Linked DNA regions of Coturnix japonica. The protein of the gene in region 1 purifies or fractionates together with the protein of each later gene. This does not show direct contact. Links are inferred from orthologs where the notes say so. Each region holds a gene or a part of one and is shown on either strand. Other genes may lie near its edges.

Region 1 (4,085 bases):
CCTGATCTTTGAAGGTCCCTTCCAAATTAACACCTTGCCTTGCCTTCCCTTCTCTACCTGAAGGTTCCTTCCAAATTAACACCTTGCCTTGCCTTCCCTTTCCTTCCTGAAGGTCCCTTCCAATTAACACCTTTCCCTTCCCTCCCTTCCTTTCCCTTCCCTACCATACCCTGATCTTTGAAGGTCCCTTCCAAATTAACACCTTGCCTTGCCTTCCCTTCCCTACCTGAAGGTCCCTTCCAATTAACACCTTTCCCTTCCCTTCCCTTCCCTTCCCTTCCCTTCCCTTCCCTTCCCTTCCTCTTACTCTCTCCACCACGTGAGCACCCCACCAATTACACACCTTCTTACTCCCCATTACCCTTATCTTCCCCACTCCGTTAACTTCTCGTCACCTCCTGAGCGACTCAGCTCCCGGGCGCTAGAAAGCGGACAAGGGATGGCCGGCCACAGCCCTGCCCTAGGGGCACCTCCAGCCACCTGCAACCACGCCCAGACCTAGAGGCCAAAGACAAAAAAGACCTACGCCGAGCCCCTACGCCAATATGAACACAAATTCTACCCTGTACCCTACCCCCACCTCTGAGCCCTACGCCACCCTCCTACCCTACTAAATGACCTACGTGCAACGTTAGGCCGTACCGAGCAGACTCCCACCCGCTGGGTCACCTACTCCCTAAGTACCCTATGCCTAAGCCCCTACCGCTAATCTTTCCCCAGACCCTAAACGCCATACCCCCTGCCGTACCGCTGAGCCCCATCTGGCCTACCCTACTAAGACCAAATTTAACACCTCTTCTACCCCTAACCCTCTTTACCACACACCCCACCCTCTACTCAGACGCTAAACCCGCCTAGCCTATCTAACACTAACAATTTATTCCTCCCCACCCTACCCAGAACTCACCGCGTCAACACCAATACCTACCCTACCCCACCCCACCCTACCCAACTCTACCCTACCTACAACCTACCCTATCCCACCCCACCCTACCCAACTCTACCCTACCTACAACCTACCCTACCCTACCAATTAACACCTTCTACCCTACCCTACAACCTACCCTACCCTACAACCTACCCTACTCTACCCCACCCTAACCCTACCCTACCCTAACACCTCCTACCCTACCCTACCCTACCCCACCCTACCCTACCAATTAACACCTTCTACCCTACCCTACCCCACCCTACCCTACCCGCCACAAGATGGCAGCGCTGATGCACGGTCGTTTCGCACCATAGAGTCGGATCCAGAGCGGCCCGACAACGCCGCCATTTCCTTTTCCGGCGGCGGTGGGAGGGAGGAAGAGGAGGAGGAGGAGGGGGAGGCGGTGTTGGCTGCGCCATGAGTTTCCTGAAGCGGTTCCCGCCGCCGGCCGATGGTGTCCGGCACCGGCAGCCCGACACGGAGGCGGTGCTGTCGGGCCGCAGTCTGGGTGCCGGGACGCTCTACATAGCAGAGAGGTGAGCGGGGTCTATGGGGGCGGTTATGAGGGCTGTGGGTGCGCTGTAGGCCGCGGGGGGTGCGCTGAGGGGAACGATTGGATTTGATTTGCTTCTCTCCAGGTTCAGGTACTAATTTCTAACTTCTCTCTTACGTGTGTTTCTCTTTAACCCCCTTTTTAGCCGCCTGTCATGGCTGGAAAACTCAGGAGTTGGCTTCTCCTTGGATTATCCCACCATAAGTTTACATGCTGTCTCCAGGGACCTGAACGCGTACCCCTGGGAGCACCTGTATGTCATGGTGAACGCCAGGTTTGAAGGTAAGGCCCACCATCCCTCCCTCAAAAAGGGAATTAGTTTTGCTTTTTAAAGCCTAAACCCTTAATTCAAGCAGTATCTTTTCATCTCCGTGAAGGATAATTACAGTAGGGCTGAAGTTTCATTAAAAGACAGTGATTCGTGTTATTGAGCTTAATAGATATTCATAGCATTCCCACTCCTGCCAGACCCTTTAATGCTTTTAAGTCTCATCAACTCTGCTGTATTGTATCATTTGAAGAGCAGTGAGTGCTAAGCCTTGAAGAAAGATGTTATTTCCAGCTTCTAATTGTTACAGTGATACTTGAAAATCTTTCCTGTGATAATTCCAGTCAATAAAACCTCAATGAGTTGACATAAAAGAATTCAAAACCTCGATAGATCGACATAAAAGAATTCTGGCCACAGTAGGTGCCCAGCTAAGGGTGAGTCTGAGTGTTCAGCTCTCATGTCTGTCCCTGACCGACCCATGGTTTTAACTGTTTAAAACAGTGTTATATGGAAACATCACTGCTTTGCTGGCTGCAGGAGTCTTGATTTTCAGTTGGGCACAGTACATCTTGTTCTTCTTTGGATGTTTTAGTAGTGCTCTGTGTGTATATTTGCCTCATTTTCAGCCTTCTTTAGAGGAAGGCAGGCAGGGGTTGACTTGGTTGAAAACAAAGAGCTGGATGTAGCAGCAGCAGCAAACTGAGCATGGGGAGGTCAATTCCAAAGGGACTGGGTGAATTCCTTGGATGTATCATTGTTTGGCTGGCAGCTTCTTGGCATCTTCGTGTTCTTCTCGTTGCCAGTTCTGTTCATAATAAAAGCCACTCTTTGTGAATACAGCTTTACTCTAGTCCTCTTTTGCTGTAGAAAGTAACCATGCAGTTTTGAAGCTGTCAGTTCAACCTCCCCAGCCACAAAGGGATGAGCTGTAAGCTGTATCCTGCGTGGATTTTGTTTTTACGGAAGTAGAACATCGTGTTCTTGCTCACTTATTCAATTATGTGGTACACAGTAGTCAGGAAGCAAAGTTTTACCCGCAGCTGACATGGGCTGTGGGGAGACTTTTTGCTTCATTGCTTTAGTGGTTTGCTAAGAACACAAGAAATTGAGTATGGCCTCCTGTCAACGTCAGTCCTATGTGGGAGGCCAGACTGGAAACTGGCTGATCTCAGGGCAGCAGTGCAAGGGATCCCTAATACCTAAGATTCTTAAGTTAACGATTGTATACGTAGCTCAACCGCTCTGCGGTTAAGCAGTAAGGATTGTGGATTACATGAATGCTATAGAAAACTTGGCTCCTCAAATTGAAAGCAGAGTTCTTGTGTGCATTGCAAGCTTCTCCAGGGTGCTGTGAGAGGACCCTGTGTGTCTGCAGATGGATGGGAGCAGGTTTGTTTGTTGCAGGCTCTGTCCGGGTTTCTGATTTGCTTATGGTTCTAAAGGTGCTAAAGCTGTCTCTTTTTTTGGATAAAATAATCATTTTTCTCTTTTAATCTGAATTTCCTGAAGAGGAGGAGACAAAGGAGGCCCCCATGGCTGAAGGGGAGGAGGAAGACAGCGATGATGACATCGAACCAATTGCAGAGTTCAGATTTGTGCCTAGCGACAAATCAGCCTGTAAGTGATGGGGAAGGGGTGCTGTACCTGATGTGAATGGCACAGGCCTTCAGTGTCTTCTTAGCATTTAATTAGGAACATGCTAATGTTCAGATGCTACCACTGGAAAACAATCATACCCTGTCTTGTGGGGAGCTTCCAGTTGGATCCAATTTCTAAGCATCTGACACATTAGATACTGCAAGGACTCCTGAGGTGGGTAACCACTGACTGAGTTGCTGCTGTTGCCTCTGTTGAACCTTTGTCATCAGTGACATGATGGAAGCATGCGTGGAGAACTAGGTTGGATTAAATCTGATGTTAATCTGGAGAGTCTGGTCATGCCACATCTGGTTGCCACCTGTTGTGACTTCCTAACCTTGAAGTGTGCCAAGCCCTAATGTCAGATCAGACTTCTGATTTTCAACCCTTGCAAGTAGAGCAACTATTAAAATACAGTGCAAAAGCTGCTTCTAACAGCATCTTAGCTGAAGTTGCCACTTCCTAGCTGAGGAGGGAGCCTGATTTTGCAGGTGTGGTTCCTGGAAGTCCAGCTGTGCTTCCAGCTGCTGGGTGGAACTGCAGGTTCCCTGCTCGCCAGCTGAGAGGCGCCAGCCCTACTGAGCACTTGCACTTCACAGCTGCCAACTGAAAGATAACTCCTGGTGTCTTTCCTTTGGGCTGCTTGCTGAGATGATTCTGTTTTGTTCGTACAGTGGAAGCCATGTTTTCAG
Region 2 (4,306 bases), on another chromosome or scaffold:
TAGTTAACTATAGCCAGTAACTACATAGGAACAAATCTAAAATTAACGATTTGTTTAATTGCAAGTAACAAGTATCTTCAACAAATGTGAAAACTAAATGCCCCTCCCAGTCCATTTTGTTCTCATATCTTGAATGGCAGTGGGTTTGCAGTGTGGTTTCTGGTTGTTATGGGCTGCAAGGAGTGTTCCTGATCTCTCCATCTGAGCATCTGTCTCTAGATGAGTAATAACAACTATCCCTGCAGCTCACTGGTTATGCCACTACTGGCCGAGTCCTTTTGCTTACTAAGAGCTCTGGGTAGGGGGAATGTTGAAATGTGAAAAATATGTAACTAGACTTTGCATAGAGATGAATAAGAAATGTCAGTTGTCAGATGGGATTTATTGGCTTTGAGTGCATCCACTGAATCAACAGAGCCAAAGTTTAAAGTTCTCATGAAGAAATCCTGGCCTAAGTAAAGGCAGTGGGAATGTTGCCGAGGCAGAATTTAATCCGAGCCCCTCCCACCCTTTTAAGGGCTGTATAATCTTAATAAATTCTTCCTGTTCTTCTCAGGTCACTAGAATCCTATGCATTATCTTTAAATTTACATACCAAACTCTGAGCCAGGCCCGGCTTGGCATAACTCCCGTATAGCACTAGATGCTTCTCCTTAGTTCTGCCTGAATAGCAACAGAAGGTGCTGATCTTTGTCTATGGGCTTTTCTGGAAGGTTCAGGGTATGCTGAACATGGAGCCCATCAGGATATCCTGAGAGGCTTTTGCCAGAAGAGAGTTCACAACAGAAGCTTTCTGAGCTGAGCCACACTTGCAAGTCAGGTTTAGCATAGGATCCTGATTAAAAGATCTTCCAGAAGCCTGTTCATGTAAACCTCATACAGAACCAATACACGGAAGAGATTCACATTTTCAAACTGGACTAAAACAAATGGATGAAATGCAAATACTACAACAGGAAATTATAGATATATATGTATAGAAATATAGATATATCTTTTTATAATAATCAACTGTTTGCTGTTTTTCTGTTGGTTTATTTTTAAAATAGGGGGGTTCCACAATAAAAGAAGTTCTTACCTGTGCTCGACAGAAAGAAAAGAGAGAGAAGGAAACCAAGAAAACCGCAACCACCCTCATGATGAAGTTTTATCTCTTTGTAGAGAAATCCCCCTGGCCGGGATTTGTCCCAATCTCCAGTTGTTAGGTTTGTGTTTAATTTTTAACCATTGGTAAAACAGTTTGGCCTCAGAAACCACTACGGGAGCCTTAGATGTTAAGGGATGAGTCGGATCCCACCCCATTTCAGCTGTTTGACTGTAAACAGAGAACCAAAGGAAAGCCATTGAAGTCAGCGATTACAAGGGAGTGCTCGGCGGGGTCTCTCGCTCCCCGCCCGCTGCCAAAGCAGACCGACCGAGTGGCGGAGCCATTAACCAGCTCTGCTGTCAGGGTGCTGTCAGGGGAGGTGCTTTCTTAGGTGCGATATGTGTCCGTGCAGGCAGGCAGACTTAAGGGTGCGACAGTGCCGCCGAGCCCGTTTCTCCTTTACGGCATGCCGGCGTCTTTCCGGCGTGTAATGATGACATAATCAGGCGGCGACAGCACTCGCATGGAAGCTGGGTATGCACGTGTGAGGGGTTGGGGCTCGTGGTGCGGGTTGGGGTGTGTGTGAGCTGTCGTTAGGGCCATTAGAGCTGGTGGTCTCCTTCAGGGCTCGGTGCCGCGTCCAGGGAGGCCGCCCCGTGGGAAGCTGGCCGCCCGGAGCCACTCCGTGGGGCTGGGACTGTGCAGCGTGATGCTCAACCCCGATATGGCCGGTCCCTCTTGATGGATGGGCATTACCGCAGAATCGCTAAGGTTGGAAAAGCGTTTTGAGGTCATTTAGTTTAATGGGGAAACTTGATTCTGGCTCGCCTGCACATTTTCGGTCCCAGCCGAGGTGCGTAACCACTAACCCGGGACCTGGGCGTCCTGGTGGACGACAGGTTGGCCATGAGCCAGCAGTGTGCCCTTGTAGCCAAAAAAGCCAATGGCATACTGGGGTGTGTTAAAAAGAGCGTGTCCAGCAGGTCGAAGGAGGTGATCCTCTCCCTCTACTTTCCCTGGTGAGGCCTCATCTAGAATATTGTGTCCAGTTCTGGGCTCCCCAGTACAAAAAAGACAGGGATCTCTTGGAAAGAGTCCAGCAGAGGGCCACAAAGATGGTGAAGGGCCTGGAGCATCTCCCCCATGAGGAGAGACTTAGGGAACTGGGTCTGTTGACCCTTGAGAAAAGAAGGCTGAGAGAGGACTTGATCCAGGTTTATAAATACCTGAGGTGTGGGGGCCATAGTGGTGAGTCTCGTCTCTTTTCAGTAGTGTGTGGGGACAGGACTAGGGGTAATGGGATGAAAGTACAGCATAGGAAGTTCCACATGAATGTATGGAAGAACTTCTTTACAGTGAGGGTGACGGAGCACTGGAACAGGCTGCCCAGGGAGGTGGTGGAGTCTCCTTCTCTGGAGACATTCAAGACCCGCCTGGACGCCTACCTGTGTGATGTGGTGTAGGGAGCCTGCTTTGGCAGGGGGGTTGGACTCGATGATCTCTAGAGGTCCCTTCCAACCCTTACAATTCTGTGATTCTGTGATTAAACAGGACCATCAGGAGACGTTGATTCGGACAGCGTGGTAGACAACAAATATGTACTTATTAAACAACCTATTTTTGTCTATGCTGTAGGAGGCAGTAGAGAATGTCCTTCCGTGGAAGAGGAGGAGGAGGTGGTGGAGGACGAGGAGGTGGCGGAAGAGGTGGAGGCGGCTTTAATCGTGGAGGAAGCGGCGGTGACAGAGGCGGCTTTAATCGTGGTGGACGAGGTGGCTTTGGACGGGGAGGTGGACGGGGAGGCTTCAACAGAGGCGGATATGACCAGGGCCCTCCGGAGAGGGTAGTTTGTAAGTTACATGTGGAGGCTGCTTTTATTTAACTTGCAGTGAGTGTTGAAGATCTTCAGCTTGTTTGTTCTTTATTTCAGTACTGGGAGAGTTCATGCATCCCTGTGAAGATGATCTTGTTTGTAAATGTAAAACAGAAGAAAACAAAGTGCCTTATTTCAATGCACCGGTGTACTTGGATAATAAAGAACAGATCGGCAAAGTGGATGAAATTTTTGGGCAGCTACGAGACTTTGTATCCTTCACAAATTGGTTTCTTTAGTCGGTTTGCTCCAAAATTAGAAAACAATTTCTTTGTCCTACTTTATTTGCTTAGGACAGGTTCAGAACATCCTTCTGCTCTGAATGTATTAATTTGTAGATTTACTTTTTGTACCAGAATTACTTGAAGTTCAGAAACTTTTTTTCTTATAATAACATACCAAGAAATGTAAAGGGAGCTCAGCTGTACTTTGCTGTTCCTTAGCTCCCCGTTTAATCTTGAGTGCTATTGAAAAGTCAGCCAGCAGCTCACAAACAACCATTCTTGCACACTTGAGAACCACGGGATCCATAGTAGTTTGTCTTTGGAGTTACAGAGAACATCCACCATATCACTGTAGGATGAAACAAATGATGTGGTTGGGCTGAGCAGCCCTTGCTGGCTCATCTCTTTCTTCATCCAGGCAGCTGTACAAGCCAGGACAGTCATAGCAAAGTCACTGCAGCATCCGTATTGTTCTGGATAAATCTGAGAGACGGTCACTTGTCAAACAAGTTTGTTTCTTTATGTTTATATTTTATGTATTTTCTGCTGGTATGTTCCTCATGCCTTAATCCATGGGAAGGAGAAAGTAATGCTTCTACAAAAGGCTGTCTTTGTAACTGTGAGGAAGATTAGAAACAGTTATTCCTGATCATTAAGTTGTAATTTTGTTGAAGCGATGATGTTTAGCTTCATTAATAACCTGAATTTAGAAAATGTCTGAAGCATCTAAGTTCTGCTATGCAATAATCAAAAGTGCTACTTCTAACCTTTTATTCGTGGTGCGTTCCTTAAAGAAGCCAACAGTATTTTTCAGTGAAGCTGTCTGAGAACATGAGAGCCTCTTCATTCAAAAAAATGCAAAAGGTAAACTGATCTCAGTAACAGAATTCTGCTGTATGTCAGGTAGATACGTCATCAAATAGCTAAAAGCTTTAGTAAGAGATTTTATTGACTTTAAAAGGTAGCTGTCCTTTGAAAATGTGTTTGCTTACTCATCCTTTTTGCTTTTACATCTGCCATGCTCTTCCCTCCCCTAAAGAACAAAAAAAGGAAGTCGGGTGTAATGAATAAAACTTAATAAATCCGCATATCATCTGTAATTTAATAACTTTATAACACTGA
Region 3 (4,170 bases), on another chromosome or scaffold:
TGAAATACATGAGCAGTCAGCATCCTTCTGCAGTCTTCCTTGCTGTCTTACTAATGGGCTGTGGAAGCAGAGGAGGAGGTAGCTCATCAACCATTATCAGTAGGAGGCTGCAAATGAGTTGTCTGTGCCAATTGTATTTCCCTTTTTGATACTAACTGAGATTTTTTCCTTCATATAACATGATTTCTGCAGTGATAAAAAAGAAACCATCTTAGGATCAGTACAAGAGGCTCACTGCCTTCATAGCCTGCCTGGGGCTTCAGGAGGTCAAAATGTTGCCGTGACCACTTCAGAAAACCTTCGAGTTGTGTATGTACATGTATTCCTGAGGATGGATTGCTTGAAGAGTGTGGATGGCCCAAGCCTTTCAGATGGGAAGATTTCCCAATCTGTTGTGAGAGATTTGTGAAGACTGTTGCATTCCTTGGCATTTTGTCAGCCTTGGTACTATCTGCATGACAGCCAAAACCTGATGCTGATAAAGTTGCAGGGATTTTCTTCCCAGTGTCCTCCTCTGTGCTGCAGGCTTCAGTGCCTTCGCTATCAACTGCCCTGGGACCTTTTGCTCCTCCTGAACTTGCAGACGCAATCAATTTCTCCATTCCAAAGAAGAACACACATTTTGGTTCTCTTACACATGTATGGGCAATTCGCTTAGGTAAACCTACAGCAGTAGGGATTTTATAAAGTTGTCTTCAAAGCAGTCCCTCTCTGAGATAATAGCAGTAGTAATAATAACAGTAAACTAACCTGGTTGAATGTTTTGGAGCTGTTACCAAAGGAAATCAATTCTGAGCCTGGGAAAACTGTAACATTTGTTCTTTGGATTTTTGTTAGTAGGAAAGAGCTGATGCTGATTGTGGTCATTTCAGCTTGGGTGTTCTTGATGGTTTACAGATATATAGCTGAGCAAAGATACACAGCTGTAGAATAGGTTTCAAGTCACTTAATTGTAGGGAATAAATTATCAGTCCCCTCTTCCCTGAGGATATTGTCAGTCACTGTGGTGTGGGTCACTTCTGACTGTTCTTCCTGCCAATAAATCTTACATCTAATTGTCAAGGATTTAAAATTATCTGCAGCATCAGATTATAGCATACCTTATCTCATATCTGATGTTGTCTGCTTATTGCTGTCTGATGAGGGAGAAAAAATGTGCAGTAGAAGAGTTGTTTTAATCTCAAAGTGATGCCAGCCTTGAGAGATAATTGATAAACTGTAATTGTTGTTTTATCATTGCGCTATTTCTACGGTGCCTGTTTTCTTCCTTCTTAGAATATATTGCAATCTGGGGGGTGTTCAGTCCATTTAATCCCATGCAACCTTTACATAAAGCTGTAGTGTAGTGTTTTTCATTTAATCCCAAGTGTTCTCTTTTTTCTTCTTTTTCCCTTTCATTTTCCTGCTGATTGCTACGGCCATGCGACAACCATGGACTCGATGACTGACACGGTACTGCCTCCTGGGATGTGGACAACTTTGGTGAGTCTGCAAAATAAGTTTAACTTGAATTTTCTGGAGAGAAAAAAAGAGTGTTTGCTTGAGGGAAGGAAGAACAATGCTATTTATTGCCAGCTAGGCTTGATGAAAGCTTGATCTGTTTTGGGGATGTTGGTTGTGTGGAAGCAACAGGCAAAGCTTACTGAATTGCAACATGTTCTTTGGTGGATTTATATATATATATATATATATATATATTTCTAATTTTGTTTTATTGTTGGCAAAGGTGAAGGAATTAACGTGCAGCAAATTAATTTGAAATAGTGTCACTTCATATGATAACCATAAAATGACTTTGTGAAGCAGTGGCTTAGAACATTTTAATTCTTCTTTCCTGGCTTATTCAATTGTTTCTGTAAATAATTCAGATAGAAAAGTATGAATTCATTGGCTGGCTTTTCAGAAAAATACTGTGCAGTCCATTGTACTGTCCTTACTCTGGTGTTGCCTGCAGTGTAAACTTTTATAGGTGGTGTGCTGAGGATTCATCTGCATTAAATATTGGATCAGAATTTCCTATGGAATAAGATTTCCATCCCAAGTAGTCTCCACTCAGATATGTGAAAAAGAGCTCTGTCAGGATCACGTTCTTTACTTGAATGCAGATCATGTGGGGAACCACTGTTGCTCCCTGAGGATGAGATTCTGGTGTTTGGGTCTTTCAGTTGAAGATGACTAGGCAGCTGCAGGGAAAACATTTGCTGCAAATGCATCAGCTCTAAGATCTCCACCAGAAAGGCAGCTGGAAATGTCTGAGTTCAGCCAGCACTGTCCATGAGAGGAAAGCTGCCTTCGAGAGCTGGCTGGGGGTGGTTGGCAGCTTAGAAGCCTTGGGGTTTATCTCTGAGCTACTTACAGGTTGTAGGAGTGACTTGTTACTACTAAAGGATTCAATCAAGGAAAACAACTTGCCTCACCTTTCACCTGTGTGGGGATGGCTTTATTTAAACACAGGCTTAAGTCTGAGTGAGGAAGCTGAGAAGCCGTGTATGGTCTTGTATTGTGGTGGCCCTGTTCTGAGTGAGGTGCGGGAGTGAGCATGGGGCAGGGTGTGGGCTGCTCGCCATCAGGTTGCAGCTGAGTTGAGCTTCTGCACGCTCTTGGTTTTCTTTTTGAGTCCTCTGAGTGTATGTGCTCTGCCACACCAGTGTGTTGTACGGGTGCAAAGAGCCTGAGATTGGAAGATGGAACTAGAGCATAAGACTGTCTTCTCAGGTACAGCTTTGGAGAAATCTGAGATAAAAACTGATATTCTACTTGTGAGCATTTCCAGAGTATTGCTGTATAATCCTTCTTATTGATCTGTAGCTCATGCTGGAAAGCCCTGGTCTCAAGGCAATATTCATATTCAGAGTCCCGGAGGATAATGGCGCTAATCATGTTTTGTGTGACCTTTCAGACAGGATGAACATATGTTGCACTGCTGCAATTCTCTCGTTCCTTGGTTGCTTTTAGGCATCTTTGACTCCTCAGCAGTGTAGCTAGGAGTGCGGTTAGGAAGCCTTCTGCTTAACTGGTACAAGGTAATTCTGTGGCTGCAGCAGTGAGATCTGTGAGCATGCTGCTTCAGATTGCCACTCTTTGATGTGCTAAGAAGCCTTGATCAGCCTGAGACAGTAATAGCTCTTGTACACAGGAATGTAAATAATGCATATTTATCTTGACTGTATGTACTACAGAAAGCTCTTTAAGTCTGAAAACTACTGGAGTGCATTCCTTGTAGTTTTGCTTCAGTGTGCATCTCGCTTGCCTTTCAAGCTGTTTTGTAGTGTATGTGTACACCTGACTCTTGTGCTGCACCCATGTGAAGAGATGCTGTTTTGGTGTTTGGAAGGGCTGTAATTGAACGTTGCCATTACCAGTGCATATCAGAGGAAGACTGGTGTGATTACATGGATGAGCATTTCCACCACAGATTCTGTGCTTAGTTTAATTTTTCACTCTAGTTCTATGTCGTATTTAGATTTTTGGCAAAGTTGAAGTCTGTTAATCTAAATCAAAGACAAAAGTATAGCTTGCATAAGCAGGTAAATATCAAAGCTACAAGGGCTGAAAGAGTAGAACTGACTGGGAGTGATGGTAATGGGTTGGTGATCAGACTTGATGATCTTAGTGGTCTTTTCCAACCTTTATGATTCTATGATGCAATCCTGCCTCCTCCTAAGTGTTTGTAGTAGAAGGATAAGAGACAGAGGGCAAAAGTGGAAATGAGAGAAGTTCAAAAAGGTTGAAAGGAGATACGTTTTCAACATGAGAACAGCCAGGCAGCAGCACAGGCTGCCCAGGGTGGCTGTGCAGTTTCCATTATTGGAGATTTTTATGGTCCAGCTAGACAAATCCCTGAGCAACCCAATCTGATCTCAGATGATCCAGCTTGGAGCCAGAGGGTGGACTGGAGACTTCCTGAGGTCCCTCCTGGCCTGAATTATCCTGTGATCCATTAAAAAGCATCTGAATTTAGCATGGTCTTTATGCTTGGAAGACAAGTCAAGTAACAAGGTCATGGAGAGGAACGGCAGCAAGGCTGGTCATAACTTCTGTGGGAGGATGTAATGTGCAGAGGAAGGCAGCATCTAGCCAGGTTCCTTCTGGAATATCCCTGGCTTGAGCATCCTTTGAGTGGTTCGTTGCTCTCAGTTTTTAATTGCATGAAGCAGTTGGCTCCTTCTG
Region 4 (2,281 bases), on another chromosome or scaffold:
ATAGCCTTGGTAAGCTAACACAGTAGCAGCTACTAAATAAAGTGATGCACTTCTGTGCTTATTTATGATGGTAGGGGGAAAAAAAAACAAGCAGTAAAAAGGGTAGATGGTCTTTAATGCATGCAAACCTCTGCTGTCATGCTGCTGCCCTCCTGCGGTGGAACACAGAGCTTTACCCAAAGGCTTGCAGGATGCTGAAGCCCAGTATGTGCTACTATGCCAAGTCTTTAATCAGCTGTACAAGAACAGGAATGAAATACCAAGTGACCTTTTCTCCACATGATCCTCATCTTCCACCACTATATCACTTTTTGCCATGGATTGCAGAGCTCTGCAGCACGGTTAGCTGAGGAACTTAGGTGGTTTAAAACTTCCTATTTGAAACTTGTCCCTGCTTGCATTGCATGCGGTGAGTTTATTTAAGCACAGTTGTAACTCCAGGGCCGTGACCTCAGCTGGCTCTTGGCGTTGCACAGGAAGCCAGGTGAAACTGAAGAGCCAGTTGTAAATGAAAACTGTGATTTATTTAAAAACCATCTTCCATCCTTTGCAAAGACATCTTGTTCACAAGCTGCACTGTAATACACAACCTTTTGCCTTGAACTCTTCCAAGGGGCAGCATGGAGGAAACTTGTTCTTTGTGATTACAATGCTCTAGATGGGGAATTTTGCTCTGAAAAATGATTGTAGATGTTTACAGTGTAGCATTGCTATCACAGTAAGGGCAATGTAGCATTTGTTTTTAACAGTAGTTTCTGTTTCATTCGCTAAAACCCACTGTTGTCTCTAGGAAAGCCACACCTGGAGCAGCAGCCATGTATGCAGAGCAATGCCGTTTATTGTCAGTTAAATATGTTGAAAGGAAACAGTTTGGTTTGAGTTGTACGTTATATTACCCCCCAAAAAATATACCCAAAGAACAAAACCCAACCTCTAAGGATTACGTGAAGTCTTTGAGGGGATTATGGAAATTGCTTGATCTTCTCAGTCACTCATTGAATGTGTATCAGGAGCCTTATTTATCACTAAGCAGTCTGATAACAGGAGCAGCAAAATGAAGACTCAAGTCCTTAGTCCAGTTTTTCCCCTTATACGAACTTCTGTTCACAAACCTTATTCTGTAAGTTGCATTCAGCACAGAGAAGCTGAAATGTGGTGTCAAGTGAACTTCTCTCAGCTTTCAGCATGCTGCAGAAAAGCCTCTGAGCTGCTCTCAGCTCCAAGCAATGCTGAGCATTACAGGTCCTGGTATTTCAGCATGTCATGCACCATCACAAAGATGTTTAATGACTGCAGCTGAGATCCTTATCATACAGCATATGTGACGTATCACACCAAGCACTGGTACTGATACCCACCAGTGGAGCAGAAGTGCACATACAGTGCTCACAGTGGGATTATTTGCAATAGAAGATGCAAAAAACCAACCTACACTGACTGTGGCACTACAGACAACAAGGAAACTCTTCTACCCTTAAAATTCCAACACGTTTTCCTGCCCCATTGGAAGGAAGTATTTCAACAGTGAACACTTTGCTCAGGTGAGGCTTTTGCATCTACCTCAGTAAAGGTGGTTCCTTTTTACCTCCCCAAATAATCTGTTTCTATTCATTCTGTGAGTGGTTTGAAGAAACAAGTCTTTCATTTTATTATACCTAATTCCCTGTTCAAGGCTCCTCTGTGGCTGAAGCCACTATTTCTTTTTCCAGGATAAAAAACTGCAGTCTTTTCACAGGTGAATCCAACTCCTGAGGAGGTGGTACAGTCTGGTTTGCAACTAATTTATGCTTAACTCAAAACTACTACAGGAACCTTCTTAGTCACAAGGTTCAAGGCAGACAATAATCCATAACCACTCCAGTTCACAAACATCGTCGACTTCAGGAGAACCAAAGTAATGCCAGGAAGGAATTTAGACCAATGAGTTTATAAAACTATTCTTTTACACAGTTGATTCCGGAAGCTTCACCAGTTGGTATGGGGACAGTGTGATGTAAAACCTGATGATCCCATCCAATTGTAGTGAGCAAGGCATTGTCTGAAGGAGACCATGATAAACCTTTGACAAAGTCTCGATGAGAACGGCTTCTGAACCTGGAAAACAGAGCAATCAGCCATGAAGCAATGAAGCAATGCTGCTATGAATATATGGGTTTGAACACTTCCTAATTACTTGTTTGTTAGGACAACGTTCCCCAGTTTAAGGAGTATTTTCATCTTCCCTTTGGTACATAAATAATTAGTGAGAAATCAGCAAGAGAAACAGCCCCAGTGAATACAC

Evidence for each region. Proteins that work in one complex are often made in the same cells at the same time.
Region 2: the proteins of CLNS1A (region 1) and GAR1 purify together in Homo sapiens (affinity purification with mass spectrometry; 3 studies listed by BioGRID and IntAct, counting the BioPlex papers as one, with this or other methods). This does not show direct contact. The link is inferred for Coturnix japonica from reciprocal best matches to the Homo sapiens genes CLNS1A and GAR1.
Region 3: the proteins of CLNS1A (region 1) and EPB41L3 purify together in Homo sapiens (affinity purification with mass spectrometry; 3 studies listed by BioGRID and IntAct, with this or other methods). This does not show direct contact. The link is inferred for Coturnix japonica from reciprocal best matches to the Homo sapiens genes CLNS1A and EPB41L3.
Region 4: the proteins of CLNS1A (region 1) and WDR77 purify together in Homo sapiens (affinity purification with mass spectrometry; 6 studies listed by BioGRID and IntAct, with this or other methods). This does not show direct contact. The link is inferred for Coturnix japonica from reciprocal best matches to the Homo sapiens genes CLNS1A and WDR77.

The regions. Positions count from the first base shown.
Region 1 is NC_029516.1:172,769,557-172,773,641, forward strand, and holds the start of CLNS1A (methylosome subunit pICln), read left to right. Parts: upstream 1-1,277; 5' UTR 1,278-1,348; coding exon 1,349-1,467; intron 1,468-1,629; coding exon 1,630-1,766; intron 1,767-3,264; coding exon 3,265-3,372; intron 3,373-4,067; coding exon 4,068-4,085. UniProt on the Homo sapiens protein: Involved in both the assembly of spliceosomal snRNPs and the methylation of Sm proteins.
Region 2 is NC_029519.1:52,168,119-52,172,424, reverse strand, and holds the start of GAR1 (H/ACA ribonucleoprotein complex subunit 1), read left to right. Parts: upstream 1-1,504; 5' UTR 1,505-1,621; intron 1,622-1,657; exon of another isoform or gene 1,658-1,858; intron 1,859-2,722; 5' UTR 2,723-2,735; coding exon 2,736-2,937; intron 2,938-3,017; coding exon 3,018-3,172; intron 3,173-3,988; coding exon 3,989-4,048; intron 4,049-4,306. Other genes in the region: CFI (complement factor I), read right to left, coding at 1,079-1,138. UniProt on the Homo sapiens protein: Required for ribosome biogenesis and telomere maintenance. Part of the H/ACA small nucleolar ribonucleoprotein (H/ACA snoRNP) complex, which catalyzes pseudouridylation of rRNA.
Region 3 is NC_029517.1:90,253,727-90,257,896, forward strand, and holds the start of EPB41L3 (band 4.1-like protein 3), read left to right. Parts: upstream 1-1,368; 5' UTR 1,369-1,482; intron 1,483-4,170. UniProt on the Homo sapiens protein: Tumor suppressor that inhibits cell proliferation and promotes apoptosis. Modulates the activity of protein arginine N-methyltransferases, including PRMT3 and PRMT5.
Region 4 is NC_029541.1:3,354,793-3,357,073, forward strand, and holds the end of WDR77 (methylosome protein 50), read right to left. Parts: intron 2,095-2,281; coding exon 1,935-2,094; 3' UTR 503-1,934; downstream 1-502. UniProt on the Homo sapiens protein: Non-catalytic component of the methylosome complex, composed of PRMT5, WDR77 and CLNS1A, which modifies specific arginines to dimethylarginines in several spliceosomal Sm proteins and histones.